3 linked regions of the Diceros bicornis minor genome follow. The protein of the gene in region 2 purifies or fractionates together with the protein of the main gene of each other region. This does not show direct contact. Links are inferred from orthologs where the notes say so. Each region holds a gene or a part of one and is shown on either strand. Other genes may lie near its edges. The genes, in order: PPME1, PPP2R1A and CEP350.

The links.
Region 1: the proteins of PPP2R1A (region 2) and PPME1 purify together in Homo sapiens (affinity purification with mass spectrometry; 11 studies listed by BioGRID and IntAct, with this or other methods). This does not show direct contact. The link is inferred for Diceros bicornis minor from reciprocal best matches to the Homo sapiens genes PPP2R1A and PPME1.
Region 3: the proteins of PPP2R1A (region 2) and CEP350 purify together in Homo sapiens (affinity purification with mass spectrometry; 4 studies listed by BioGRID and IntAct, with this or other methods). This does not show direct contact. The link is inferred for Diceros bicornis minor from reciprocal best matches to the Homo sapiens genes PPP2R1A and CEP350.

The regions. Positions count from the first base shown.
Region 1 is NC_080746.1:56,781,530-56,791,536, forward strand, and holds the start of PPME1 (protein phosphatase methylesterase 1), read right to left. Parts: upstream 6,445-10,007; 5' UTR 6,336-6,444; coding exon 6,235-6,335; intron 1-6,234. Other genes in the region: C2CD3 (C2 domain-containing protein 3), read left to right, coding at 6,655-6,724, 9,657-9,926. UniProt on the Homo sapiens protein: Demethylates proteins that have been reversibly carboxymethylated. Demethylates PPP2CB (in vitro) and PPP2CA. Binding to PPP2CA displaces the manganese ion and inactivates the enzyme.
Region 2 is NC_080773.1:28,669,983-28,679,989, forward strand, and holds the start of PPP2R1A (serine/threonine-protein phosphatase 2A 65 kDa regulatory subunit A alpha isoform), read left to right. Parts: upstream 1-5,051; 5' UTR 5,052-5,112; coding exon 5,113-5,190; intron 5,191-10,007. UniProt on the Homo sapiens protein: The PR65 subunit of protein phosphatase 2A serves as a scaffolding molecule to coordinate the assembly of the catalytic subunit and a variable regulatory B subunit.
Region 3 is NC_080743.1:87,104,468-87,114,474, forward strand, and holds the start of CEP350 (centrosome-associated protein 350), read right to left. Parts: upstream 6,304-10,007; 5' UTR 6,221-6,303; intron 1-6,220. UniProt on the Homo sapiens protein: Plays an essential role in centriole growth by stabilizing a procentriolar seed composed of at least, SASS6 and CPAP. Required for anchoring microtubules to the centrosomes and for the integrity of the microtubule network.

The sequences.
Region 1 (10,007 bases), on a different chromosome or scaffold from region 2:
AAGTATCCCCATTTTAAATATGGGGAAATATAGGCTCAGAAATGAAAAATAACTTGCCCAGAGCCACTTTCAGTAGCACTGGAGTTTGGATTTAAACTCAAGTATGTCTAGTGTCAAAGTGTTCTTTCTACTACACCATGAGAGAGAGGCCCAGGAAGAGGAAAAATAACTTGACCAAGAGCCACATGCTTATTAGTTGCAGAGACAGGACTTCCATTTATACCTGGAAAAAGTCCACGGCAAAGGACACACACAGAGGCATGGCGGAAAAGGACTGATAGTAAACAACTTCAGCCTTCTGTTGTGGTTTGGAATGACTGGAATTTTCAACATAATCACTTATTCAATCTTCAAAATATATTGGTAGTATTGCTTGGGACTGGTTGTCAATACTGTATATTGAAGGCCATCTAAGTGTGGCATACAAGTGAACCACCCTTTTAATAGCACTATTAATTAAAACTTTCTTCTCTAAAAGAAACTATCTCATAGCATGAAGGAAAAAGTTTTTCCTAACCAACCAGAGGTGTTTTCTCAAATCTGATATCAAGCAATGTAACAAGGAGGGCTTATCAGCTTCAAAAAAAAAAAAAAATCCAATTATCCAATTTGGGAGACACTAAGAAGAAACAGATTTGCTGGCATAAGCCTAGCAACAATGGAAAAATGGACCATTACTCAGAAGTGCACAGGTCACAGGGCTCAAACCTGGCACAAGGGGGAGAGGGAGAAAAGAAGGGCGAGGAAGAAATCACTTCCCATACCTGTGCTGCAATGAAATCAGTAGGGAATTTGAAGTCAGAAGATCAGTCTCCCCTACCTGTTAATGTTGGGACTTGGAGCAGATGCTGTTTACTCTCTACTCCAGACGTTCCTTCCCCACTTCCCACCATTCTCTATGTCCTAACAGAATTTCAAATTGTTTTAGAAGCTGGTGGAGATCTCTTGTTATCTTTCCTTCAGTCCAAGGAAATGAACCAGAATTGGTCTAAACCAGTCATAGTAATCCCATTCCCTACTGCCAATGATTGGTCTTAGGATGGACATGTGAACCAGTTCTGGACAATGAGACTCACGGGAAAAATCTGCTAGGGAGTTTCCCTTTCTAGGGAAAAAAAAAAAAAAAAAGACAAGTTTAGGGGGCCAGCCCCATGGCTTAGCGGTTAAATGCGCGCACTCCGCTACTGGCGGCCCGGGGTTCGGATCCCGGGCACACACCAACGCACCACTTGTCCAGCCATGCTGAGGCGGCATCCCACATACAGCAACTAGAAAGGATGTGCAACTATGACATACAACTACCTACTGGGGTCTTTGGGGAGAAAAAGAGAAAAAAAAAAAAGACAAGCTTAGCTAGGAAAAGGCCTTTGTCCCTGTTCTTTATTTTTTATTTTTTATTTTTTTGTGAGGAAGATCAGCCCTGAGCTAACATCCATGCTAATCCTCCTCTTTTTGCTGAGGAAGACTGGCTCTGAGTTAACATCCATGCCCATCTTCCTCCACTTTATGGAGGACACCGCCACAGCATGGCCTGACCAGCGATGCATCAGTGCGCGCCCGGGATCCGAACCCGGGCTGCCAGCAGCGGAGCGCATGCGCTTAACTGCTACACCACGGGGCTGGCTCCACGTTCCTTCCTTTTTAATTGGCAAGATAGAATCAAGGTAAGATGCAAGTGGACTTGCAGCAGCCATCCTGCAACCATAAGGTGACAAGCAAGAGAAGGAAAAGTCAACATTTCTAAGGATGGCAAAAGAAAGGATGCAAAAACCTTTGGTCCTGAATGATATAGTTGAAGGACTGAATCAACTCTGGAACTTTCTGTTAATAATAAATATCCTTTTGGTATAAACCATGGTAAGCTGTTAACAGTCAATTAGATTATTTCACATTAATGTAATATTGCTAATCTGAATTTGGGGAGTTTTGCAGGTTTAATTGTATTTAAACAGTAAATCTGTTGAGTTCTATAATTATATAACAGTAATATAGAATTTACTCTTATACATAAGGAATTTATCCCTAGTTTTATTTTGTACATATTTAAGTAACATTACATTAAATATAACTTAGGTCAATACTTGGGATCCTAAATATTTTTCCTTCAAAAGGGATTCATTCCGGTGGCACAGTGGTTAAATTCAGAGCACTCCACTTCGGCAGCCCGGGTTCACGGATTTGGATCCTGGGCATGGACGTATACCAGTCTTCAAGCCATGCTATGGCGGTGTCCCACATACAAAATAGAGGAAGATGGGCACAGATGTTAGCTCAGGGCCAATCTTCCTCACCAAAAAAAAAAAGGGGGAGGGTACATACAAATTGAAAGACACTATATTTCTTCAAGGAAGACTCACTATCATAAAAATATTTATTCTAAGCTAATTTATTCTAAGCTAATTTACATATTTAATATAATCCCAATAAAAATACTATCAGGATTTTTTCTGGTAATAGTCTAGTTGATTAGAAAGTTTACTCGTAAGAATAAACAAGTAAGAGGAGCCAGGAAAATCTTAAAAAAGAATGAGGGGGAAGCTACCTCTACCATCTACTAAAACATATTAATAATGCCTCTCTAATTAAAAGTGTAGTAGTGGCACATAAACAAATAGGCCAATGGAAAAGGAAAGAAACTTCATAAACAGACCCAAATCTATGTGGAAATGTAGTATATGATAAAGATGTCATTTTAATCAGTGGGAAAAATGGCTTATTTTTATTGCGGTGAAATTCATATAATGGGAAAAGGATTTTTTAATAAATGGTGTTACAACAACTGGACCCCACAGAGCCCTGTGAGGACACATCTAGAAGACTGTTGTCTATGAACCAGAAAGTGGTCCTCACCAGATACAGAATCTGCTGGCACCTTGCTCTTGGAATTCCCAGCCTCCAGAACTGTGAGAAATAAATTTCTGTTGTTTATAAGCCAGCCAGTCTACGGCATTTTTGTTATGGCAACCCTAATGAACTAAGATACCAGTTGCAAGTGGGGATCCCAAATCAGAGTAGCTCCAAAAGCTTTAATAAAAAAGTTCAAAATCACTGTTTTTGGCATCGTCTACTGGCATCTATCAAGGAACAATAAAACCAGGATTTCAGGCCTTACCCAAGAGAAAGTGTTGGTGTTCCGAAGAGGGAATAGATTCTAGAGACTAACCCTAGATTGAATCCTGGTTCTGCCACATACTAGTAGCGTAATCTTGAATCTCCAAGTCTGAATTTCCTTATTTATAAATTCAGGGAAATACCTACCTTGCCTGGTTATGGGCAGATTAAATAAAATAACATACATAAAACTACTACTACAATACCTGGCACATTGTACTTACTGAGGAAAAAAACGGTAATTGCTATTATTACATTATCCAGCAATACTCTGGAACTACTAAGTTCAATTTGAAAAACTAAATTATGGAAACTCAAGAAAAATCATGAACTCAAAACCACCCTGAATATGCAAACACATCTAAATAAGGTTTAGTGAAATTGAAGGCAAGAGATTATGAAAAATAGCTGAAAGAGTAAGTCATATAATACACTGTCAAAGGAACAGGCCCATCTTGAGTAACACACAGATGTGGGAGTGGAAAAAGATGGGAAGATAAGAAAAAAGGCAAGTGAGAAGGAGAAAGAAAGAAGGATGCTTTGCAATTGGTGGAAGTGAGAGTTCATAAATCAGGACTGACTGAGGAAAAAGAAAGACTGAACTCTATAGTATTTGCAAAGGAAAAAGATAAACAACTTAAAGTAAGTATTGCCAGGATAACAACTACGAATCTAAAAAACACAATGGGTCCCAGAGGCAAGAGATCCAAGTCCTAGTCCTCAGTGGCCCCACCACTAAGCTTCTAGGGTGTCTTAGTATGAGGAAGATTTGAGTTTCAGTTTTCTCAGTTATCAAGAGGAAATACTGTCCCCTGCCTCTTAGAGAATTCTGTATTCTGCAAGGTAAACTGAGTCTCAGTTTCCTTAACTATACAGTCAAGTAGTGAGATGAGATCATTTCAAAGCTCTCTTCTAGTTTTATGATTCTAGAGGGGACAGAGTCTATATTATTACTAACCTTAGAATTAGATGAGGCCTGCTTACGTTTCCATAAGGAAGAAGAAAAGGAAAATAAGCCACTTGAGGACCACATAAAATTCACCAACATATGCTCTTCTCTTCACAATACTATAAAGAAGCATCTTTCTAAAGAACTTTATTTTTCAGGATAAGCAGTTAACCTAAATTAAGAAGACCAAAGCATCTATTTAAGGAGGATAAGTTACTAACAAGTATACAATCTTCTAATCAGAAGATTTTCCCTTTATTTTCTCTTAGCATTTTTCCTCAGTTCTTCATCTTCAGAGAACTTGTTTTGACAAAGTGAGAAGCTGAGTTCTAAACTTATGTAAAGCATGTGTAGATATTAAAAAGCTAATAGTTTATATATTTTTACAAAAGAGTGCTGGTATACTTAAAGATCAAATTTTAGTTTAAGAAAGGCAGCAACTAAGATAAATATCAACAATAACTGTTACATTAATTTTATACTCCAGGTTAATTTTCCCAAATAATCTGTTATGGATCAGTTTCCAGATCCACCTTATTCATGTTAACACTCCTACCTTTCTGTCTTCCAAAGCCAAAACAATCTTCATTTTACCTTATATGCAGCCTTCTACCACCTCTTTCTATTGTGCATCCATCAACCTATCTTCTGTCAAAGTTTTCCCATTTTTCTACTGAGTATCATAGTTAGGTCCCCACTTTGATTCTTAGTTTTTTTCCCTGGTTTTTCCAATCATTCTCACCACCCCTCAACCCCATGGTTTTAATTTATAGGACTCTCCTTTCTCTTCATTCCTAAGACCTACTTTTACAGTACTGCATTTCCTATCCTCATCTCTTTTTTGATCAGTTTTTGTACATATTACTTCTTCAGAACCTAAGGTTTCTCTTCTCTAGTTCTTATTCCAAGAATATCTACCAACCTATCTCTAGAATCCCAAACACACACTCTTGACTACCTCATACCTAAGTATTCTTCCTACCCCTTTTCTCTTTACAATCACTAGTTTCCAGAATCCTGTCTGATACCACAAATACCACCCAAAACCAACTGCCAATTCAGTTCTCTGTGCTTTCCAGCAATCCCTCTCCCATTTTCAACTCATTATACTCTCTCTCCCACACCTAAATAAACCCTAACCTGGCACAAGCCATTCAACAACCTAAAATTCCAAAAGCCTCTCTCTTCAACACAGCCCCTCCCTTCCCAGTAAAGTTTCCCCCAAAACATTTTAAGTGGCTACTCTCAATACTTCATTAATTCTGAGTCTTACCTGAGTCTTATCAAACCCAGTACACAGCTTCCATCAGACCTATTTGCCCAGCAAAAGTCAACTGCCCAAATCTTCCTCTCTAAGCTTCCCAGACGTTACCTCTCTGCAGCACTCCCACTCACTAAACCCTATTCCTACTCACTTCTCAATTTCCAGAGCCCATGGCCACTCTCTAAGCTACTCAGCCCTCTCCCTCGTGACTCCCCTTATGTCCTACCCTCACTTTTCAGCACATTCCTATTATCCTTAATGGTCTTCTTGGCTATGTTCTCCATCTTTCCTTAGGCCTGTTTCCCAAGCTTTTCTCTCCTAAAAGACCTAATCTCCTAGTCACCCCCTCACTCCCTGAATCTGCCTCTTACACCTCTAGGAACTCGCTCTAGAACCTTCTGCTCCTAGCTCTCTTTCCTTCTCCAACCCTGCCTCAGGTGTTCTCTATTTCCCTCAGCTTTTCTAATATCTAGTTCTCAGTCTTACTCCTTCCAAATCTTTTCCTAGTAGTTCCCCTAAGTCCCCTCAACTCTTCTCAGTCATTCCCCATTTCCCTCAACCCTCCCTGGCAGATTCCCACCACCTTTGTCACCGCTCTGCTCCCCTTCCTCCACCCTCCTCCACACCTCCTTCTGGAGGTGCCTCCTACCTCTCTTAAATTACCCTCTCAGCTTCCTCAATCTTTGCCTCATTCCCTTCTCACTTAATACTATTTGTCCTCCAGTTTCCATTGACTTGGCGCCTCCCCTAGTCCCCAAATCTGCCTTCTACTCCATCCAAACGTCTCAGGCCGCCCCTAACATTCTCTCCTAGCCGCAGCCTCCCTTGCCTGCCGTTCTCAACGCCCAGAGACACCATTCTCCAATGGCCGGGGCCTGGCCGCCAGGGGGAAGGGGTACGAGTCACGTACCCCATTCGCATCTTGGCTCCGCTCTGACTGCCCCCGCTGCCGGGTAGAGGAGGGCGAGAGGGCAGGCGGCCGAGGTGCATGCTCTTCTCGAGGGCCGACATGAAGGGGAGGCCGCAGGTAGTTAAAACAGTAGTCGAAGCTTCGTCCCACGCTAAGTGCGGCCCAACCGGTCACAGCTCTCTCCCCTAAGCGACGCCCTGTCGCCTTTGGACAGCACCCAGCTACCGGCAGCACCGCCCACCGCCCACCGGCTCCGTAAGCCCCACCCCCTCCCCCCCTGCGCTTCCACCGGAAGTGCGCAACAGCCCTCCACAAAGGGAGCTGGGTAACGGAGTCTGAGGACACCTCAGACCCCCAGCGGAGAACGCGACGATCCTCCCCCGAGAGAGAAACGCTCCTGAAGACAATGCACCCTGGGCAATGGAGTTCTCATCGGGCGTATCCCTTTGCGCTTGCGCGAGTGGAGGCGACAGCGTCCAACCTCGCAGAGGTAGTAGAGCAAAGCATCCTGGGTGTTGTAGTCTGTTGCCGGGAAAGAGTCTTGGCGCCTTCCCTTTTCCCCGGTTCTCAGAGACTGTTAAAGGAAGAGCCGCTTCTTCCTGCCTCCCAGGCTGCCCAGCGGCGCCGGTTGCCGGGGAACGCGGGCGCCGTGGGAAACGATGGCGGGAGGCTACGGGTTAGGTGCTGGGGCAGGAGTTGAGCTGGTGAAGAAGAGCTCGGGCTCGTCATGAAACAACGAAAAGGCCAAGGGCCTGGGGGCGGCCGTGGCCGCAAGAAGAGAGGTAACCTGAGAGACCAAATGTTGAGGAAAGGTTAACAGGGTTGAGTTAGGGGAGCAGGGTGTAAGGAATTCGAGGGAGACCCCCACACCCGCCTCTAAGAAAAAAAGAAAAAAGACGGAGAAGAGAGAATAACCAGGAAGGAGAAGGTTAAAAGAGAGGGCAGTTGGCCCTCCAGCAAATGGAAAGGAAGTAGGTAGGGGCTGAAGTGGGGGCCAAAGTGGGCGAATAAATGTGGCTAGGTGAGGGCTAAAAGGATACATGTAGGACATTTCTCGAGGAAGGGCACAAAAAAATTCTAGGAATGTTTTTTTTTTGAGATATAATTGACATAGCATTATGTTCTTTTCAGGTGTACAACATAATGATTGGGTATTTTTATATATTGCAAAATGGTCACGACAGTAGCTCTAGGTAGCATCCATCACCATACGGGGTTACAAAAAAAATTTTTTTTCTTGTGATGAGAACTTTTAAGGTCTGCTCTTTTAGCAGCTTTCAAATACACAGTACACTGTTATTAACTATAGTCACTGTGCTGTACATTACATTCCCATGATTCAGGAGTGTTTTTGATAACAGTTAAATGTGTGTGTGTGTGTGTTGGGGGGAGGATATAGCTTTGGAGGTCCACATGGGAATGGAAGAAACATTAGTTGGAGAGGCAAATATGTCAGTAATCCTAATAGGCAAGGATCACGTTTTATACATTACTGAATCCCCAAGAACTAGCACAAAGCAGGACTCGGTAAATGTTATTTGAATGAGTGAAGCCTGAGACAGTCATGCAGCATGAAAGGCTATAGGCGGGAGTTGGGAAAGATAGTTGTGGAGGAGAGAGGAAGAAAGGGTGGGGTGGAGGTGAAGGCATGAGGATCTCTGGAGGATTGAGATGAAAGCATGTGTAGCAAGAGGACTTTTATCAGGTTAGAAATCTCAAGGAGAAACAAGCTCACCAAGGGAGTAGGGAAATGTTAGCTGCAGCAAGAACAGTCACCCCAGGAACCCAGGGCAGATCGGGAAACTGGAAATTGAACCTCTACAGAGCTGCCTCAAAAAAAAAAAAAAAACATTGGGCAACTCTGCCTTTTTACATTATAGGCAAAGGGGCGTTAGGAATAATAATAGTACATTAGGCCCTTAGGTTGAGGACTGAAGCTACAGTCTGGGAATGAATCTTATCCAAGCTGTTTAAAGATAACTAAGGCAGTTTTGAGGCAGCGTCTTTCCTGCCAGAATGATGGGAGGATATGAGACAGAAGCATGGAAGTGTTCAATACTGGTGCTCCCTGTGTCAAACCGGTCAAGAATATTTGGTTGATAGGAGGAAAATCAAAATAGAAATAACATAAGAATGTCCTTCTTGCTATACCACATGCATATGCAGTAATGTTCATATACACACCTTTATATAATTTTTATATTGAAACTAGTTATCCATAAAGATTATGATGGGTCTTTTCACCACTGTAAAGAGCAGAGGAATCCATAGAATTAGTTATATACATTCCTGATCTGATAGACTCCAGTTATTTTCTTCTTGTGTGCCATGACCACTCCCCAAGGGAGAAGTTAGAGGCATAGAAAGGTGTGTGTAACAGGAATGGTTTCTTAAATCTCCTCTAAATCATGGTTAGAAGATACTGTGATTGGAAGACAATCAGGGTCATTAATGGAAAGTTTTATAGAAAGTCATGATTAGTTGCCTCATGTAGATTTTATGATCTGTTTGAAATCCAATAAATATTATAAAAGCCGATAAATATTGTTAACTGAGAACTGTGCTAGAAAATAGTGGTAGAATCTGAAGAGGATAGTCTCTATCCCCATTGACTGTATGTTGTTGGCAGGAAAGAAAAGACATAGCCAATTTAAGGTGGACGTTGCTGAAATGCTGAGTTGTGTGGTATAGACTGAATCATTTGCGAGTCGAGTAAAGGGAGTTGTTGCTGTTTTATATTTAATGATGTTTTTAAAGTAAGAGAGTTAGGTAAAGATAACATAACCGTGGACATTGCAATAATCAAAACAACAGTACTTAGAAGAAAAATTTCAACTACTTTTGAGATTTTAGAGACCTATCTACTGTATTATTATATTTGTATTTTTCTTTTTTTTTTTTTATAATTTTATTTATTTCTTTCTTTTTCCCCAAAGCCCCAGTAGATAGTTGTATGTCGTAGTTGCACATCCTTCTAGTTGCTGTATGTGGGACACGGCCTCAGCATGGCCGGAGAAGCGGTGCATCGGTGCACGCCTGGGATCCGAACCCAGGCCGCCAGCAGCGGAGCACGTGCACTTAACCGCTAAGCCACGGGGCCGGCCCTATATTTGTATTTTTCAAATGGTGTCTTTCAATTAAAGAGGTGTTCATATTAGCATGTCTTAAATTGGTGTGTTCTTTACTTACAATAACCTGAATCAAACCATAAATACTAATTAGTTATCAGAGTGGCTTCAGTGACCATATAGGTTATTCTTTGGTCTGGTTTGCTAGTTACTTCTCCTGTATTAGAATAGGTAGGATAAACCTTCTTTCTGTAGAGACTAAAATGTTTTTGTGTGTTTTCATTCAAAAAGCAGGTTATATGTTTTCTGTATGTAGTCTGCATTTTGACTTAGTGTTCTTGGATTCCTCCACAGGTTTGAGTGACATTTCTCCATCTACAAGCCTACCACCTCTGGTCGAAGGCCAGCTACGCTGCTTTCTGAAACTTACTGTTAGTAAAGTCATCTGGAAGATTGCAAAGCCTCCCACTTGTGTACTTGTCCGAGTGAGATGGTGGGGAGAAACATCAGATGGAACCCTCTTTTCTCCCAGAGATACATTGCAGACTGAACCAAAAGCTGTGAGAACAACTACACGTTATGCTATTCGCTGTGGTCCAAAGCAGTTTACCTCCTATCTGACAGGTATATTTTTGTCTTATCATTTCACCTGCAGGCCTAATAAGCACGTGATTATGTTGTTAGCAGTAGGTGTTATCGTGTATC
Region 2 (10,007 bases):
ATCTCAACCAGTATGAATGACTCTGTGACCTTTTATTGAAAAGCTTCCTTTTTTGCTATGTGATACAGCCCCAGTCAATCCATTAGGCAGGGATCTCCTTTCTAAATTAAAGTGCTAATATGTTACGTTAGACCAGGGGCTGGTATAGGGAATGATCAGCCCCTGGGTGAGTAGGTCTTCTACTGTGGAAGTGAGGCCTTGTGTGGCCTCAGGATTTAATGGATTTTGAGGCAATTTAAGAAGTTTAGTCATCTATCTGGATCTGTATAGGCTCTACACCTTTTATTCTCCCAATGACAGTATTAAATGTTGCCCAGAGATTTGGGGGCACCTTAAAATCTGAGAACTTTTGTTGGAATTCTTCTTCTTCTATGTCAAGGGCAGATTATAAAGAGCATACAGGATCAGGTTCAGGTTGGTCAGGAAACTCTAAGGTGAAGTCTCCATTGGAAGCAAACATATTAGCCCTTTTAATGGACTTCTAAATTCCAAAATTTAATTTAGCCCTTCTAAATTCTTAAACAAAAAATTTGGGGGATTTTCCCTGGGTTTAGGGAATTTTTTAACTATGGCCCTTAGTTTGGTCTTTGAACGATGGGTGAAAGATATCTGAAAAGATTCGTCTGAAACCTCAGGTAGTTTTATTTTAAAAGGTAATTATTTAAGTCTTTTCAGAGTGGAAAGGCGGTTCAGACAGAGAATCAGTAACCATGAGTGCTCAGGTGAAGGACGAGGGGAACAGTAGGAGTCACGTCAGTGCTCTAGTCTTTTGTTTTAGGTGCCCTTTGTGTCTTTACTTTTCCCTTAGCCTTTTGTAATGAGTCATTTAATGAAGCTATTTTGGAATCTTGCAGCCTTTTGGAAGCTTCTGCATACCAATTAAAATAGGTATTCCATTTTGTTTAATTTAGGAACTCTTGCTTTCCAGTGAACTTCTTAAATAAACAATCTTGTCTAATTGAAACGTTTCCCATAATGACCATTGTAACTCTAGGTTGTTTTTAGTAAGATTTTGCCATTTGGCTAGATATCTACAGTCCAGGACTGTAATTCTTAGACATGAAATAAGCAGGTGTGTTGGAAGGTGGCACACTTGACTCTTTGGAGCTTAAAGATCCCATTTCTTTTTAGTTAAGCCTTTGGGTTTCTTGGAGCCAAACTAATACCTAAGAGGGATGTGCCTGGGTGTTGGGAATTGTGTGTAGTTTTACATTGTGCTTTGTTGCATGGAAATTTTCTTGAGGTTGGTGGGTGACCTAGTGTCAATTTAACCCATTTCATAACCAACTTATCCTAACATGGGAGTATTCTTGAGGTATACAGTGCCCTAACAGCCTTTATTTTTTTTTCATTTTATTGATTTATTCATTTTTTTTGAGGAAGATCAGCCCTGAGCTAACATCCATGCCAATCCTCCTCTTTTTGCTGAGGAAGCCTGGCGCTAAGCTAACATCTATTGCCAATCCTCCTCCTTTTTTTTCCCTTTTTCTCCCCAAAGCCCCAGTAGATAGCTGTATGTCGTAGTTGCACATCCTGCTAGCTGCTGTATGTAGGACGCCGCCTCAGCACGGCCGGACAAGCGGTGCGTGGGTGCGCGCCCGAGATCCGAACCAGGGCCGCCAGTAGTGGAGTGCGCGCACTTAACCGCTAAGCCACGAGGCCAGCCCCCTTAACAGCCTTTAAATGCTTGTTACCAAACCAAGTTCATTTTTCCCACCACACCATTATGCTAATCACCCAGATGATGAGTTTGCAAAGAGAAAGGGTTTAACAAGGCAGCCAAGCAAGGAGATGGGAGAACCAATCTCAAATCCACCTCTGAAAAATGGGATTAGGGATATTTATGAGATAAAGGGGCAGAGTGGTCTGAAGTGGGAATAGATGATTGGAGGTAAGGAGAAGTGAGGCAATTGATGATCTGTGTTTGATCTGCAATCAAACTTCATGACTCTTCATAGGATGCATGTTCACAAAATGGCAGCATCACCATGATCTGAGGGTGGAGTTTTCAGCTCCTTGACATCAAAGCGTCACCTATGGGTCATCCATGCAGGCCCAGTTGATGTGTCGGTGGTCTTAACCAGCCTGAACTGGATGAGGAGTTGACTGTCAGTTCCTGAAAAACTCAAGCACATGTTACCATGGTGACCCAGGCATCAGAGATGTTGTCTATAGTGTGGGTTTTAGTAATTCATTATCTAACTACTTTTGCAACCAGACAACTAACTGAGTATAGTTAAAGCAAGCTGGTCCCCAGTTTCATGCTCGACCCATGCCCAGCAATGTTTGTGGATTTGTTTTTGTTTTTGTTTTTTTTACTTCTGATTCCCATTAGCCACTAGCTTTTACTTAAAACAAAATTGTATTCACCTGATGCCTCAGGCTGGACCCAGTCCAGCTTAAATTGGACCCAGCCTAACTCCAGACTTAGTTGGATAACCACCAGCAGTTCCCCATGTGGAATGGGGGGGGCTAGTGGGAGAGAATTTGGGGAGGGAGTCCAATCAAATGGGGAAAGCCAATTAGATCAGGAGCTCAATGCAAAGAGAGCAGAGCTCAGAACTGAGAGGAACTTACCCACTCCCTCAAAATTGGTAAGAAAGACACAGAACTCAACAGACTTCATGGGTACCACACCTGTGTCTCTCGTCCCCAAAGCTGTCAGAAGTCTCCTTCAGTCCTGCCACTGCCACTAAATCTGTTAAATAACAAAAATTCAACTGAGTAAATTTAAAGATTAAATTGGCTTTGTGAATTAGGCAGCACACTACCTAGCAAGTAGAGAGGAGCTCCAAAGGGCTACAGAAAAGGAAAGGTTTTTAAAGGCAGAGAGGGGGTGGAAAAAGGGAAATTATTAGCAAAGAATGCATGGTTTCAGGCAAGGTCACCATTTTGAAGGGAATGGAAGGGGACTTTCAGGTAGATTACCGCACTTGTGCTGACCAGGTAATTCCAGGTTGACTGGTCAAAGGTTACATTCCAACAGAGGTTTAAACTGCAATTAGGTTGGGTATTAAGTCTTGGTTTGCTGATGTGGGATTTAGCACAAGTGACTCCACTTTGGGTCTGCTATCTCCTTTTTACAAGCATGATATTTCAATTTTGGAATGAGTCAATATGGACTTCACTATTAACAAGTAGGAAGGGTCCCAAAAGTCCTGTGTCTCATGGAAAGTGTATATTCAAGAATGAAGGCAGACTGGCCTCAGTGACATCTCAGCTTTACAAGAATAAGTGGTACTTATCCCTTTGGAGGAAATTTTAAGTTCTACACTGTAGCCAAAGCCACGCACTAGGAACCCTCGACCTCAAGATTCCCCCAAATGATTCACTGATGGTTTAGGTAAGCTAAATCCTAATGGTGTCCCCTGGGCCAGTGTGGCTGTTTAGCCTTAGTGCCAGCTCTGCAGAACCAAAATTAGATGTGATTGTTCTGTTCATTGGTCAGATCTGAGACACCTGGACTGCTGCCAGTGGTCTAGCTGTTTAGTGTGCCACTTGGAAAACTATGGACTGCCAGAATAAGGACACCCCTCTTTTGGGCTGTGAACTGTGGAAACAAATGGCAGTGCTGGAATAATTGTCTGGGTGATTCATTTAGATGTCTATGGTAAAGGCCTGTTGTTTGAAAAGACTGACAAGAATCAAGTTGCTGATTATGTAGTTGCTGTCTGATGCAGAGGCTACCTCTGCATGGCACACTTGTGACTTTTTATTTTGCCCCAGCTTGATTGAGGTGTAATTGACAAAGAAAATTTCAAGATGTTTAAAGTGCACCCTTAGCTAACTAGACCCATAGTCTCAGTGAGCTGGTGAGGTAGGGAAGGATCCTGGGAATATGGACAGCAAGGATTGAACTATGAAACACCACCACCCCTTACTTTTTATGGGAGTAGTTTCCTAATTGGAGTGGGTAGAAGTCTTTGGAAAAGATGCTTGGGCTATTCAGACCTGTCCAGGAGTCCTCGCTCAGCCTTGCCCTTCAAGGGGCACAATAATGGGTGAAGAAGCACCCCAGGCTTTCCCATCACCGCGCCCAAACTCCCTCATTTAGGGTGGTCCTAAGATTGCGGGTAGGGGGGCTGTGATGAGTGAGGCTAGGAGCAGACACTAATCAGTACCAATCCTGTCCCATTCTGTGGGAGGAGACAGACATCAACACAAGAGTCACAGCCTCAGCCTCGGGGATGGGAATTTTGAGAGAGAAACAGGTTATGTGGCTCCTTTTTTTTTTTTTTTTTTTTTTTTTTTTTTTTGTGAGGCTCTAGGGGCTTGAGGGCCAAGCCTGAAGAAAGGCAGGGAAGGGGAGACATTTATCTAGAGATGAGACAATTGAATAGAAACTGCTCTCCAAGTAGAAGGTATGTTTTGGGCAAAGGCTTGTTGGCATCACGACGAACTCAGGGGGCTAATTTTCCAGGACTGCTGACGTGTAAAAAGGAGAGATGGGAGATGTATCTAGATAGAGTTTAGGAATCAGATCCACAAAGGCCTTGAATACTAGTCCGAGGGACTTGGGTTTAATCCAGATAATAAAGCAACTCGCCAGCCTTCTCTGGACCTCGGCATAAGGCATAAATCAAAGCCTCACTCCCTCCTGCCCCTCCCGCACAAAGGCGCCGGGCGTCCGCCTGCCAGCTAAAACCTTCAGACGGTCCGGGTCACCTCCTGATGCCATGCAGTCCTACCGACGCATGCGCAGAAACTTTCTCCAGGAGTCGCAGACGGGCAGGCTTCGCCTCCTCCCAATCCTGCCCCTCATTGGCTAGAAACAACAGCTCGTCTTGGCCGTTGCTAGCGACAACGTAGGCGGCTACGATCTTGGTCGCTAAGATACCGCGTACTTCCGTTTCCTTCTCCCCCACTCCTTGGCTCCGGCAAGCCTTCTCGTCCCTTCCACCAATGGCAAATGGGCAGTGGGCGGGACTTGATTTGTCCGGACCAAAGAAAAGCGGGCTTCTCTGGCGCAGCGCTGCCAATGACCGTGGGGCCGCCCCTGTAAAGTGGCTCGGGCGCCCCCACGCCCGCCTTTCCTCCTCCCAGCTCTGCCCCTCCCTATCCGGATTTCAGCACGGCGGTAGCCGCAGTCTGACAGGAACGGACGGAGCCAAGATGGCGGCGGCCGACGGCGATGACTCGCTCTACCCCATCGCAGTGCTCATAGACGAGCTCCGCAACGAGGATGTCCAGGTCCGGAGGCCACGGGGGGCTTGAGGAAGACGGGAAGGGGGACATGGAGGCACGGGGGCTCTCGCGGAGAAGGCTCAGCGTTCTCTGGGCGTGGCGGGGAGAGAGCGCAGCCAATCAGCGTGCAGCTCTCATCTCTCCGGGTCCCAGGACTCGATGCAACAGCGCCCGGGATTGGGTGTTGGCCCAGCGGAGGGCGGGAGCGAGGCGAGTCTGGAGGGTCCCGGGCCTGCCGAGTGCACGCGGCGGCCCCGGGCCTGGGAGGCCGCGGCCAGGGAGGGGGTTTGCCTGGTTGGTCGGGGACAGGGAAGGGCTCGGTGATTGGCGGCGGTCCCTGAATGGCCCCTTGGGGATGGAGAGGGAGCGTGACTTGCTCCGAATGGGGGAGGGGTCGCCTGCTTGGTCTGGACCCGGGTAGATTTTCGCCTTTCTGGGTTTTGGCGGCTGGGCCTTAGCGCTGTGGGGTAAACTCCCTAAATGGGGGAACTGAGAGATGGAGGCTGCCTTTCCAATTCCTTCCCTCCCTCCAATTTTGGTGTATATCCCCGAAGGAGCGGGGGGCGGCTCGCCAAATTTAGGAGTCAATTACGAGGTAGAAACCCGCTCCCCTTTTGGGATCGTCCCATTGACTGGGAGGTGGGCACTTTGCTAAATGGGCTAACACATTTCTGGTGAGCCGAATAGGGTGGCTCAGGGCCCTGAGCCTGGCTGGCGAGGATTTGAGAAAAGTGAGGACTCCACGGTTTGCCCATCCCATCTGCACCTCCCACCCCCGCCGTGTGACCTTATGCAAGTTACTTCATCGCTCTGGCCCTCTGTTTTCCATAAAATGTGGGCTAATCATAGTCCTAACCTCATTGGGTGGTTGTGAGAGACTGAACGAGTTAATAATACATGCAGGTAAAATAGAACGGTGTCTAGCCTGTTGTGAGGACCCAGTAAAGGTTAGCTATAATTATTGAGTGTTGGTTGAAGAGGTCTCATCCTCTCTTTGGGCCTCAATTTCCTTATTGATAAAATTGAGTGGGTTACTCTGGGCCCAGCCTCTGAGGTTCCGGGTATATCACTTTGGTTCTGTAGTCAGACAGGCTGCTGTTGTACTTCTGGCTCTTCCACTCCTTGCTGATTGACATGGGCAAGTTAATCTCTCTAAGCTTTGGTTTTCTCTTTTCTCAAATGGAGGTCATTATCTAGTTCATAAGGGCTGTTGTAGGAATTCATTTGTTCAGTAAACACCTGCCACATATCAGGTATGGTGCTGAGGATGTAGTGGTGACACCAGTTGTTATACAAGAGACGTGTGGAACAGAGCTGAATACATTAATAACACATGTGAGATGTGGTGGGAAGAAAACCATAGCATGTTGTGACAGTGAATCAGTAAATATTTATTGGGCCTCTGCTCTGCGTAGGGCACTGTTGTAGACACAGGTATATAAGAAGATTGACAAAAGCTCCTGGCCTCGTGGAGTGTACGTTGTAGTGAGGGGAAACAGACAGTAAGTAAAATGTATGCTATGTTGCGGATAAGGGCTAAGGAGGAAAATGAAAAGTGGTGGGGGATGCAGTTTTAAAGAGGAGTTAAGGAAGGCCTTGCTGCAAAGGTGATGTTTGAACCAAGACCCGAAGGAGGCAAGGGAAGGAGCCATGAGGCTCTCTGGGTGGAGTACACAGCAAGCACAAAGTGGGGTGAGGAAGATCTGTTTTAAGTAGGGTAGTTAAGGAAGGCTTCTCGAGGAGGCAGAGTTCAAGATGAGACCAGAAGAAGGATCCAGCCTTGGGAAGAAGGTGGGGGAGAGTCTTCCAGGTAGAGAGAGCAGGCAGGTAGTGGCAGTAGTTCTCAACCAGGGTGATTTTACCCACCGCGGGACATTTGGTAATGTCTGGAGACATTTTTGGTTGTCACAACTGGGGAAGTACTCTATCTGGTGGATAGAAGTCAGGGATGCTGCTAAACCTCCTATACAGGACATGGGGTACAGGACAGCCCCACAGCAAAGAAATATCTGCCCAAAATGTCCATAGAAGTGGGATTGGGAGAAACCATCGTATGGGATGGGAAACTCTCGAGGCAAATTTAGTGGCTTAAAAGAACAGCAATTTATTGTCTTACAGCTCTGGAGGTCATAAGTCTGACCTGGGTCACACTGGGCTAAAATCACGGTGTCAGTAGGGTTGCGTTCTTTCTCCAGGCTCCAGGGGAGAATCCATTTCCTTGCCTTTTCCAGCTTCTAGAGGCCACCCATATTTCTTGGCTTGTGGCCCATTCCTCCATCCTTAAAGCCAGCATTGTTGCATCTCTGTGACTGTTCTTGTGGAGTCACATCTCCCTTTGACTAGCCAGGAAAGGGTCTCTAATTTTGAGACATGAGATTGAGTCCGACTGGGTAACTCAGGATAATCTCCCCATCTCAAGGTCCTTACCTTGGTCACATTTGCCAAGTCTCTTTTGCTTGTAAGGTATCATACTCAAGTTCTAGGGATTAGGGTGTGGACATCTTTGGAAGGCCATTATTCTGCTTACCACAGTCCTTGTGGCTGGAAGGTAGAGATCGAGGGAGAAAGTGGTAGGAGTTTGAGTGATATGGTGGTGGTGAAGTGCCCTTTTAAAAAAATTTCTTTTACATCTTCAATTGGTTTAATGTTTCTTTTTGTTTATTCTTTTGTTACTTTTATTGCATTGAAGTCTGAAGGGAAACTCCTCATTCAACAAATATTTAAGGAGTGCCAGGTGTGTGCTGGGGATTGATGTGGGTAGTGGGGCAACAGCAGTGAACAAAACAGGCAAGAATCTGCCCTGATGGAGCTCCCTTTGTTGTGGAGGCAGACAAGGAACAAACAAGTACAATGTAGAGGAGGATAGACAGTGCTAAGTGCTATGGAGAAAAATAAAGCAGGGATGGGGGAGGACAGGAGAGGGTTAGAATTTTAGATAGAATGGGTAGGGAGGGCCTTATTGAGAAAGTGACATTTGAACAGAGATTTGAAGGGAGGGAGCAGGCCTGGTGGATATCTGGGGAATAGCATTCCGCAAGTGCAGACGTCCTGAGGCAAGACTATGCAAAGTGTGTTCTGGCAATGGCAGGAAGGCCAGTGTGCCTGGAGCCAAGGGACTGAGCTGTTGATGTTGGGAGATGAAGATGAAAAGGGATGTGTCTTAGAAGCACCTTGTGAGCTATCACTTAAACCAGGGATTGACAAACAGCCACCCAGGACCCTGTGCCTGTTCATATTTTTTTAAATAAAGTTTTATTGAAAACACATACACCCATTTGTTTATGTATTATCTATGGCTGCTTTTGTGCTGCAGCAGCAGGGTAGAGTTGAGTAGTTGCAACAGAGATGATATGGCCCCTTAAAGCCTCAAATGTTAATTACTTGAGCCTTTACAGGAAATAGATTACCAACCCTTGACTTAAGCCATCTCTGTATCAAATCCCATCCACCCCCACAAGTAACCAGTATTATCAGATCAGTGTGAATCTTGCTAGACATGGGCTGTCCTAGCCCCTTGCCACATGTGGCTATTGAACACTTGACATGTGGCTAGTTTGAATTGAGATGTGCTTATACATAAAATACACACCAGATTTCAAAGACATACTACTACTGAGGGTAAAACATCTCAGTAAAACTTTTTATATTGATTACATGTTGAAATGATAATATTTTTGATATATTGGGTTAAAAAATATAGTAAGATTATTTTCACTTGCTTATTTTATTAATTTTACTAGACAATGTAAACTTACATGCAGGTCTTGCATTTACACTCTGCATTATATTTCTATTGGAGTGTGCTGACTCTGGGTCATACTCTATTCATATATAGAGAAAGAAAGAAAAAGTGGGCATTTTTTTCCCAACAGTAAGTACTTTATTTTGCAACTTGCTCTTTTCACTTAATATTTCTTCCAGATCTTTCCATACAGGTACATACACATCGGCATGTATAAGGAGTTTGAACATTTTCCCAAGAATCAGAGACATAGAGACTCAGAGATTGCATCTTTGTCCATGTCTGTGGGCTTTTTGAGGACAGGGCTTGGACCTGATTCATCCCTAAGGATTCAGTAGCCAGTACAGGCCTGAGCACAGAGACCAGGGAATACAGGAGCTCAGAAGGGGTTGAATAAATAATATTAACAGCTGATATTTATTGGGTACTTGCTCTGTGCTAGGTGCTATAAAAAGGCAGTGCATTTATGAGCTTACTGAGTTCTCACAACCACCCTTTGCTTACCTATATTTTCCAGATGAGGAAACTGAAGCCCAGTGAAGGTAAATAACTTGGCCACATTCATGCCAGGTGGGGAGTGGAGGAGCCAGGAAAGATTCCCAAAGGAAGTCTGAGATCAGAGAGCGGAAGAGAATTTGGAATGGGGCAGACACTGACTAGATTTGTATGCCAGATACTGTACTTAGTCTTTAATGGGACAGTCTAGGATACTAGAAAGAACATGGGATTTGAAATTTTGTAGTCTTGATTCACTTGTTCAGCAAATATTTATTCAGTACCTCCTGTGTGCCAGACTCTGTCTTAGATGCTAGGATACAGCAGAGAGCAACACAGCAAAACTGCTGCCCTCTAGGGGCTTGCATTCTAATAGAGGAAATGGACAGTAGATCTATAATATGATATCAGTGGCAGTAATTGCTAATTAGAAAAATAGGCAGGGACAGGGAATAGAGCAAGCCCAAGTCTGCTGTTTTTGATAGAGTGGTTAGGGAAAGCTGCTCTGAGGAAGTGGTACTGAGCAAGGACTTGAATGAACAGGTTGGGGGAAGAGCAGGCTGAGCAGTTGGTACAACGGCCCTGA
Region 3 (10,007 bases), on a different chromosome or scaffold from region 2:
AAGTGTCCTTCCACATTCAGTAACTTAGCTAATTTAGAGGCTGTTAAGGAAACAAACACAACTAAATTTTCTTTCATTAGAAGCCTTTACTGACTCCTTGATGCAGTGTAGTTGCTCCCAATTTGTGAATCCACAGCACTTTATCATTCCTCTTACCTCCTGTACTATTATTTACATATCTGTTTCTTACATGGGACTGTGGGAATGATATTTTATTCCTCACAGTACACAGCACACACTAGGTGCTCCAGACCTGTTTGCTGAATGATGATGGTCCCAATGATAAGTCTCAGAATCCATTCTTAAATGCAAATAGGCAAAAAAAAAAAACACAAACCACAGATTATTTCATACAATATGAAGAGGTTAACCATTCCTGAGCAGAAAATTTCTTTCACGGTAATATGTAAAAAAAAAAAAAAAAAAATAGTTATATGTGTACATATACGTTTCATATTTTAAAACAAGCCCAAAGCTAAAAAGAAATTCTTTAATACTCAAAGATTTAGACATGAAAATGAATTGAAGCCTATTAACTTGTGGCCAGTGCTATTAGTCATGAATGATTTTTTAAATCTAGTTTTAAAAAGGAAGGGACGCCGCAATTCCATAAGCAGCTTCTACAAGTCCACTTACAACAACAAAAACTTTAAGTGGCTAACTTTTTTTAAAAACTGACCAAAACCCAAACTTCTCAAAGATAAATCGGATTCTTCTGTTCACAAAAATATCCTTCTATTTGTTAAAAAAAAAAAACAGAACTCCTTTACACTGTTATTTCTCTATAGTATTTAAAATAAATCATTATAGAAAAATGTAGCATCTACATTTTTTCAGAGATGTATCTATTGTATAAGCATAGTCCAACTTTGTTTATAACTAATCAGAGAACAAAGCAAATTAAAGCTGGAAGTTAAGGGTCATCTAGCCTCACGTTTTTCAAACATGTAGTAATGACCCATTCATAGGTCAAAAAAACCCAATCTGGTGGGTTGGAGCTAGTATTGTTTCAATGAAACCAAACAGAACTGAATTGAGAATATCAGGGTATCAAAAGTAGAAGGGTATTGTTTTAGTAAAACTTTCATTCCATTTTATATATAAAAATATACATATTTATGTATATTGTGTCACCATGAAAAACATACTTCTTACTGTAGTGTCCTAGTCAAAAGAGGTCAAGAGATTCCCAAGCTTTCTCAGCTCACAGAACCTTTAGTCTCTCTCTAATTTTTTCATGGTGCCCCCAGGCCAAAAAACACCTAACACTTACAGTTATTAGGTAGTTAGGACCATACAACCTATTTACATACTGACAACTTAGTAGCTGTTTGAAAAACACATATAAATTGAAAAAATATTTTATTACCAAACAACCACATTACTTATTGATGGGATGTGTGCACCTAATACACATTACACAACTTCTCAAATCTTGAAATCACTTTGGACACTACCACTTTCACTTACTGTTTCACATTGATTTTTACACAGTACTTGCTTTTTATCACAGCAACCCTCCAAAACCTAGTTTTTTGAAGACATACTGTCACAGAAAGGAATGTAGCACAATCTCATGTGCACTATCTCAAACTAATCGTTTGAGCAGTGTCCCACAGATGTCAAATATTACTGTGTTTCCCTCGAAAATTTAAAAATATCCCACAGTGCTTGTGTGAGTTCACTATGGTGCTCCAAGGTACTTTTGGGCACAGTTCAGGAATCTTGAGTTTAAGAAACACTGATCTAACCTACGTATTTACTTTGTAAATTAAGAAATGAGCTTTAAGGTCACAAAGCTAGCAGAAAAATAAATACATTTAGTAGGAATTTTCATAGATTAATTTTAACCTTTCATCAACAAAAGTTTTGAAATAGAATCCAATTATGTGATATCTGGCTGATGAAATCTGTAGATCTCTGAGAAACAACTCCATTTATATGACTGTATAATTGAAGAAAAATTCTGCTCCAATATTTTCTTTTTTAGGAAAAAGCTTTCAAAAATTATAAAAGCGGGACTTACAATAAACAATACAAAAGTGTCTTAAGTAAAAAAAGGAAAGTTATCTACTCCCCCAGGGATAACACTGCTAATAGTTTAATGTCGATTCTTACACATTTTCCTTTGCACATACAAAACCAAACTACATTTCTTTGCCTATGTGTGTGTTTGTACAAAACGAATCATATTCCACAGTGTAGTACAACCTATTTTTTCAATCATATTATGAACATTCTTCCATGTCAGTACATAACAGTAACTGCAAACATTTATGTGGCGCTTACTATGCTTACCTAGGGCTTAAATATTAACTCATTTAATTCTCACAACAGCCCTGTCAGATAAGAACTATAATTATATCCACTTTATAGATGAGTTTAAGTAACTTGCAAATGGTCACAGCTAATAAATGGTGCCATTAGGGTTTGAACCCAGAAAGTTTGCTGCATGGTCCCTGCACTCAAGGATAAGCTCAGTTGCTTCTCATGAAGTAAATATAGAAATCCCTCAACCTGTTAACAAGTGCATAATATCTCACAGCATAAATATACTATAATTTTAACAATTCCCCTACCAATGGACAATTAAGACATTCTCTGTTACTTATAAATGTTCACATTTATTTGTAATAATCTAAAATGAACATCCTTATAGATTTGTTCTTGGGCTCTAGTGTTAAAATTTCTGTAAAATAACACTCCTAAAAATGAAATTATTCTATCAAAGAATATGTGCACTTTTAATTTTGGTAGATAATGCCACATGTCCTTCGAGAACATTGTTCCAGTTGTACCAACTTATAGTCCCAATGACAGAACAGAGGGTTGAGATTCATTGTTAACAAATATTTTTGACTCATGAAAAGACAGTCCTATTTTCAGTTTTTTTTTTTTTTTAAAGATTTTATTTATTTATTTTTCCCCCAAAGCCCCAGTAGATAGTTGTGTGTCATAGCTGCACATCCTTCTAGGTGCTGTATGTGGGACGCGGCCTCAGCATGGCCGGAGAAGCAGCGCGTCGGTGCGAGCCCGGGATCCGAACCCGGGTCGCCAGCAGTGGAGCGCGCTCACTTAACCACTAAGCCACGGGGCGGCCCTGTTTTTCAGTTTTTAATTAACACTGATGTAGAACAGATGGCCAGGTTGTTCACAATTATCCTCTGATCTGATAATTATCTGACACTTTAAACAAATGTAAACTTAGCAGCTGACAGTGGATTCTTCACCCAGTTATGAAACCAACTATAGGTAAGATATTTCCCTATATGATACTCTGTTTATGTATAAAACGTGGGAATTAAACTAGTCAGCCTTTAAGATTTAAAAATCCTAATACTGTAATTAAGAGTAATTACTGTAATTTCCTCAGCAAAAAGAGGAGGATTGGCAGGGATGTTAGCTCAGGGCTGATCTTCCTCACAAAAAAAAAAAAAGAGGAAGAGTTGAGATGTGCCTAGGAACTATGAACTAGTGTTTTGTTTTGTTTTTTAAATATTATACCGAGACCACACTTTAGTCAATTTATTCAACCAATATTTATTGAATTTTTTGAATTTATTGGTTGAATATACATTGGTGGAAGTTTATTATGTGCTAGGCATTGGGTGCACGGTAATCAATAGAGGATTTCTGCCATCATGAAACTTACAGACTAGATAAGAAAGGCAAATAATAACCCCAAATAAGCACTAGTAAATGTAGAGTTATACTTGTGGTAACAATAAACAAAAAGTATTAGTGCAGGAAAAAACTATGCAATCTTTTGTTTACTCAGGGTTTTTGGACTATTTATGACACTAGAAATTGTCTGACATGGGGAAAAAAGAAAATTATCTAACAACCGGTCCCACACTGCAGAAACAGCAATCAGAAGTGTAGATGGTGATTTAACTTTTTAAATCATCAGTTGTCTCTACAATAAAATCACCAAGTTGTTACTACTCAGTTATGCTACTATGTGGCTTGAATATCTGCTTTACATAACCAAGAGTATAAATGATTTGAAATACCAAAGATGACAGAAGTAAGTATCCAAACAAAATGAGTGATGACAAATTAACTACAATTTCTTAGGAACATTATTCAAGCAAAAAGTACATACAGAACTAATGCAATCCATTATAATAATTCATGACTTGTTAATAATTAACAAAATGCTATGAAAGTACTAATGCTTTTAAAGAAGTGACAATCATCAGCATAAGGAGCAAGTGGCATGTCAAAAAGAACAAGAATAGAATTTTTTTTAGATTTTAAAAAACCAAATGTCAGAAGTATCTACATTAATATTCAATTTAAAATAAAACTAATTCTAGGATGTTAACTAGACTTATTGTGGTGATCATTTCCCAATATATACAAATAGGGAATCATTATGTGGCACACCTGAAACTAATATAACGTTATATATCAATCATATCTCAATAAAAAAATAATTGAAAATAAAACTAATTCTCAATCATCTGCAGAAATAACAGCAGCATTCACAAAAATAAACGAACTTACTTGTGTGTCAATTTCCACAACTGCAAAGTAAGATATTTGCCAAACCTACTCACAAAATTGCTATGTAGACTAAATAAAATAATGTATGTGGAAGCACACCAAAAAATGACGTCAGTTATTTTAGACAGCAGCTTTTTTGCTCTCACTATAACTTATACCAATTTAACAAATAAAATTGGTTAGACAGGGGCTACATCTCTTTTTTCTGTCCATGATATGGTAGAAGCGTTATAAAATGGGCAAAAGACTGGCAATCCGAAGCAACAGAAGAAAACTCAAAACTCCATAATTCATAAATTGATTACCCCACAGGAGGTTGGCTGCTGAAGTATTAACGCTCCTCCATAACACTACACACCAACAAATCTCGGAAAAATCTTTTCACATATGTACGAAATTGTTTACATATTATAACTCACCATCACTACAAACAGGAAGTACTGCTACTGACTATGAAGATGAGATACACATGTATTTATCCACACATACAATGTATTCCAGGTTATGTTTATTTTCTGATTAAAGTATCTTAAATCCAACGCAATGACCGTTCCAGGGTTCAGATATATTTTATTACTCTGCATGGCGTTTGTCAATTTAGCACACCAAAACTAATTATTACACTCCCATGGGTTTGAAGAAACTTCTACCATAGGTCTAACAACCAATTCCCCAAAGTCACAATCTCATTTTATTAGCAGCACACTGCCTTATTTAAAAACAATATTTTAAACTAAGAAATTTTTTAAATGGAGAGCAGCTTTCAGTATTTTATCACTGCCTCTACAAACCTTCTCAAGTTGTTACTAGGTCTGCCTAAGATAGCCTTTTCTTTAAAACCCTTAAAATACAGGAGGAGGTATCGTGTTAACATGGCAACATAACCATTAACGACTTTTCCAAATTCAAAACAAGGATCACCAGCAAAACAAAACAATCAGGTGGAGTACATGGATACTGATCACTATTCCTGGCCACCTGTTTTTTCCTATATGAAGGATTTGCTACTACACTAAAACCACATTAAAATCTATATGTGCGACTTCCTATCCGAAAACTAAAAAACCAGCCAAATTCCAAACCATGTTGTGACATTAGCTAAATATTATTTAGCACGTTGGGCTATATTTAAAAAGAGGGCGGGGAAAAATGCTACGTAAACTTTCAAAGCGTAAGGCTTTTTAAATCTCCCCCTACATCATTTGTGAATAAATCAGTAGACTACATTCAGCAGCTGCTAGACTGGAACACAAGATCAAAGTTTTCCCTACGTTTAGGAATGTTTATCCCCACCAAAAAGGAACAGAAACTAGTCATCCTTGCCACTGGAGCCAGTTGCCCGGAATTTCCCCAAATATGCCTGATCTCCAATGAAGAAGGGACACTTCTCTGGAGACCAAAGGAGAGAGGCATCTCAAATCTTTTGCAGACGAGAGGAGGGGCGGGGGAAGCGGGGGAGGACCGGCAGGTAAGGAAGGAAATCTCGTCTTCGGCAGGCACCGGTGGGACCTGAAACCGAAGTCGCAGGATGGCCCTCCCCGCAAAGCCTCAGGACCCAGTAAGGTTCCCCGAGGGCGAAGCCAGGCTGGGCCAGGGCTCCCCGCGCCCCGCCCCACCTCTCTCGCCACCACTGGGGACCCGGGACCGCGGACAGAGGCTGCGGAGGCTAAGAGAGCGTCCACGGTCCCAGCCAGGTCCTCCCGCAACTCACCTGAGAGTGTCGCCTCCGCCCTCGGCTCCCACGGTGCATCCCGCAGGGCCTGGCGGAGGGTACAGTGACGCCGCCCCAACCTGCCCCAGGGCTGCCGGGCCTGGCCTCCCCGCTCCGGGGACGCACCGGGTGCCCGCCTCGCACCGGCTCCCGAAATCCGCGGGTCTGCAGAGAAGGAAGGAGAGACGGAAAGGCTGCCTCCCCTCCCCCACAACAAGCTACCCCCTGAGCTGCGGCTCTCTGCAGTTCCCTCTGGCGCAGGTCTGGCCCCTCTCCCCCCGCCCGGGAGTCACTTCAGCAGCAGCGGCCCAGTCGCCATTACAGCCCAACAACTGACACGGAGGAGGAGCGGCGCCGGCGGCAGCGGCGGCGGCGGCGCGAGGCAGGGCGGGAGCAGTAGGGGCCCGGGCAAACATCGCGAGAACTATGCCCAGACGGTTCCACAAGAATGCAACCCTTGGTTAGGGCCATGTTGAGTGTGGCCAAAGGTGAAGGCGAGGTGAAACGAGGAGAGGAACCTCGAGGGCGCCATGTTTAGTGTGGCGAAGTTTGAGCCTTGCAGATCTCGGGAGGGGCCAGAGTAGATCCGCAGCGGAGACCTCCCCCCAACCCCGCCCTCTTTCCGCTGACGCTAATTGGGCCATCTGGCTGCGCATTTCACCTCCTAGCCGAAAAAACAAGCTGGGGGTTTGACAAAGATGAACTCGACGTCTGGAAATTGCAGCTTCTCAGAGTTTACGACAATTCACCAATTGTCGTCCAAATGAATCTTTACCCCAGTGAGCTTTAGAGTAATTGCAGCTCTGCGGCTGCTGCAGTTACCCACTGCTGTCACTGTGGCCGTGTTATTCGCAAGGGTTGCAATTCTGTTCAGCATGCACTCTGTCTAGTGGCTTAAGATGCCAAAGCAAGCAAAACGGAGTTTCCTCCAGTTAGGTATTGGCATTGATATAACTGTGCTTTGAGAAACTCTGCGACCAACATATCTTCTAATACCTTTTTCCTCTCCCCGGTCTCTGCATGGTAAATTCTGTCATCTGTCAAGACAGCTTAAATGACATCTCTTCCGCAAATCATGCCACCTTCCTCTCGGTGTTCATTGCACACAAGGTCTCTACCCATTACACTCCTCCACCTTCTGAACTCCAATAGCTATTTAGCCAGAGACTGTTTCTTATTTTTAAGTATCTTGAGGCTACGTATCTTGAGTATCTCTCTATACCCCAACAGGACCTAGGACGGTAACTAGGACATTGTAGGTGCTCAATAAATGCTTGTTGAGTAGATCGTATCAATAAAAGCAGGAGGCAGTTACTGCACCCTCTTTGTAGGGCCTATAGCTGTGCCTGAATAGGAAATAAGTGGATGTACAAAAATCCCGCACGTATGTTAGATGTGTACTGTGTCTCCAGGAAGCTGTGCTGGAGGGAAGAACAGGTAATGTGGGTATCCCAACGGTGCAAGTGGTAGCAAGAAAAACAACATAGGAAAGAGTTATTTAGGTTTTCCCCACTCTTTCGGTGAAAAGGAGTGGGATAGATGCTTTTCATATGTTACTTTACTGAATTTATACAACCATCTTATTAAGTATTATGCTCACTTTTTTAAAAAGAGGAAATGGGTTTGGAAAAACTAAGTAATTTGCCCAATATTATAGCATCAGTAAAAGGCAGATATAAGATTTGAAATCTCCCTTACTCCAAAGCCTATTGATACTTTTCTACCTCCAGGCTATCTCCTGGGCAACAAAGAAAACATCAAAAATTCCTGTCACCACGCGGGGAGCAATGTTACCCTCACATCAGCCTATGCACAGTTTCCACCTCCATACTTTGTGCTAATCCCTGCCCTCTCTCTTACCTCCCGAATACCTCTAACACATCAACCTCTCTTCTTTTCAACATCCCATAACTCTTACTGTTTATACTCTACATAATGGCTTCTGAGTATATTAAGTTTTGTACTATTTTCTCGTAGTTTCATGAGAGTAATTAGTCTCTGGAACAATATTGGAAGCTTAATGAGAAAAGGTTTGTCACCCTTCCCAGTAGTTTCCACAGTACTAGGCACATAATAGGTGGGCTCTATTTTTTCTCCTACTTCTTAGTAGACACTAAGATTGGATTTTTCTGCACTTTATAGTCTTCACTGATTACGATGACTTTGACTGTCAACCTTCTTTGTATAACTGGATCTTGGCCCCAGACTTGACTAAATCTCCAATTGTCTGTTACTCATCTCCACGTAGATGTAGAAGTTACCACCACCTCCAGCTCCCAAATTAAGTATATCATTTTCTCCCTCCTCAATCCCACAAAGCCAGTTCCTCCTCCTGCCCTGTTGTTCTGTTAATGGCCATTGCAGAACTCCCTTCGGAGAACAGAGAGGCTCAAAAGTTTAGAAATATTATATACTTTTCTCTATGCCTTATTCCTACCCAATCAGTTATTAAGTCTCTAAATTCCATTGTTACATATTTCTTTTATCTACTCCCCTTTTGTCCAGTTGCACCTCTGCTCTTCTAATTCAGGCTCTCCTTTCTACTGCCCAAAAGATTGCAGTTGTCTTCCCAGAGTTCAGCTTGAATTTTGCCCCTGCCCTCGTCTGCCTGCCAAGGTAAGTAAGAATTCCTCACCTCAGTCATCAAGGCCTTTCTCGATATGGCACCAGCCTAGCTTTCTATCTCCCTAAAGTAAGACAGCATGAAAAAGTAGAAAGGGCAGGAATGTGGTGTCAGGAAGACTCCAGTTCAAATCTTGCCTGTCACTTAGTTGCCCTGTGACACCTCAAAAGCCTTCATTTTATTGTCTATAAATCAAGGCTAATGATATCTACTCTGTAGAGTTGTCTTAAAAAGTAGAAATAACATCTGTCAAGAGCGTGATACATAAAAGATAGAAATAAGCAGTGGCTATTATTACTTCCCTAATTGGATGTATGTTTGGGCCAAACTGGATCTCAGAAACAGCCTGCTCATCCCTACCTCTACACCTTTGTCTCTAACCTGAAACACAGGTCACCTTGGTTCACAATTTCAGCCACATCCTTTAAGTACAAGCTCAAAAGCTACCTACTCCAGGAAGAATTCCATGACTGCCCATACTTTGCAGATCCTCTTCCACCCCTGAGTTCTGCAATGCTGTGTACCTCCCTTAGGGCCATATCTACTATCCATAGTTCTGCCTTTATCCTGCACATCCTTGTCACGTTAGACAGTAAAGCCCTTTGTCTCCTTCATGGTGGATTAAAAGCATGCACTCTGGAATCAAAAAGGCCTGGATCCAATCAAGTAACTTTGGTCAAGCTACTTAACCTCTTTGTGCCTCAGTTTCCACATCTGTACAGTGGAGATTACAATAGTACCTACTCCATAGAGTTTTGTGAGGATTAAAAGAAACAACACATGTAAAGGAAACAGCACAGTACTTAGTACATAGTAGGTGCTCAAAAATGTTGGTTATTTTCACTACTATTTTATAAACTGAGTAGGTGCCTTGCATCAACTAGGCATTCAAGATTTGTTGAATTCAATTGAGTGTTTGTTGGATTTAATAAATTTTGGGTGAAAAGCTACATGTTCTCTCTCCTGAAAATGTGAAATTTGGCATTGATTTCCAGACATAACAAATTGGGAAATGGAGAGATACAGCTATGGTGATGTAATGATGCCATTCACTGTTTGAGGTCACTTGAATAAAATTATGTCAGGATTAGGTAAAGACTTTTCTATTGAAATGGCAAGCCTAAATGCCAAATCTGATCTGTAATCTTGTCTACTACCTTTTTA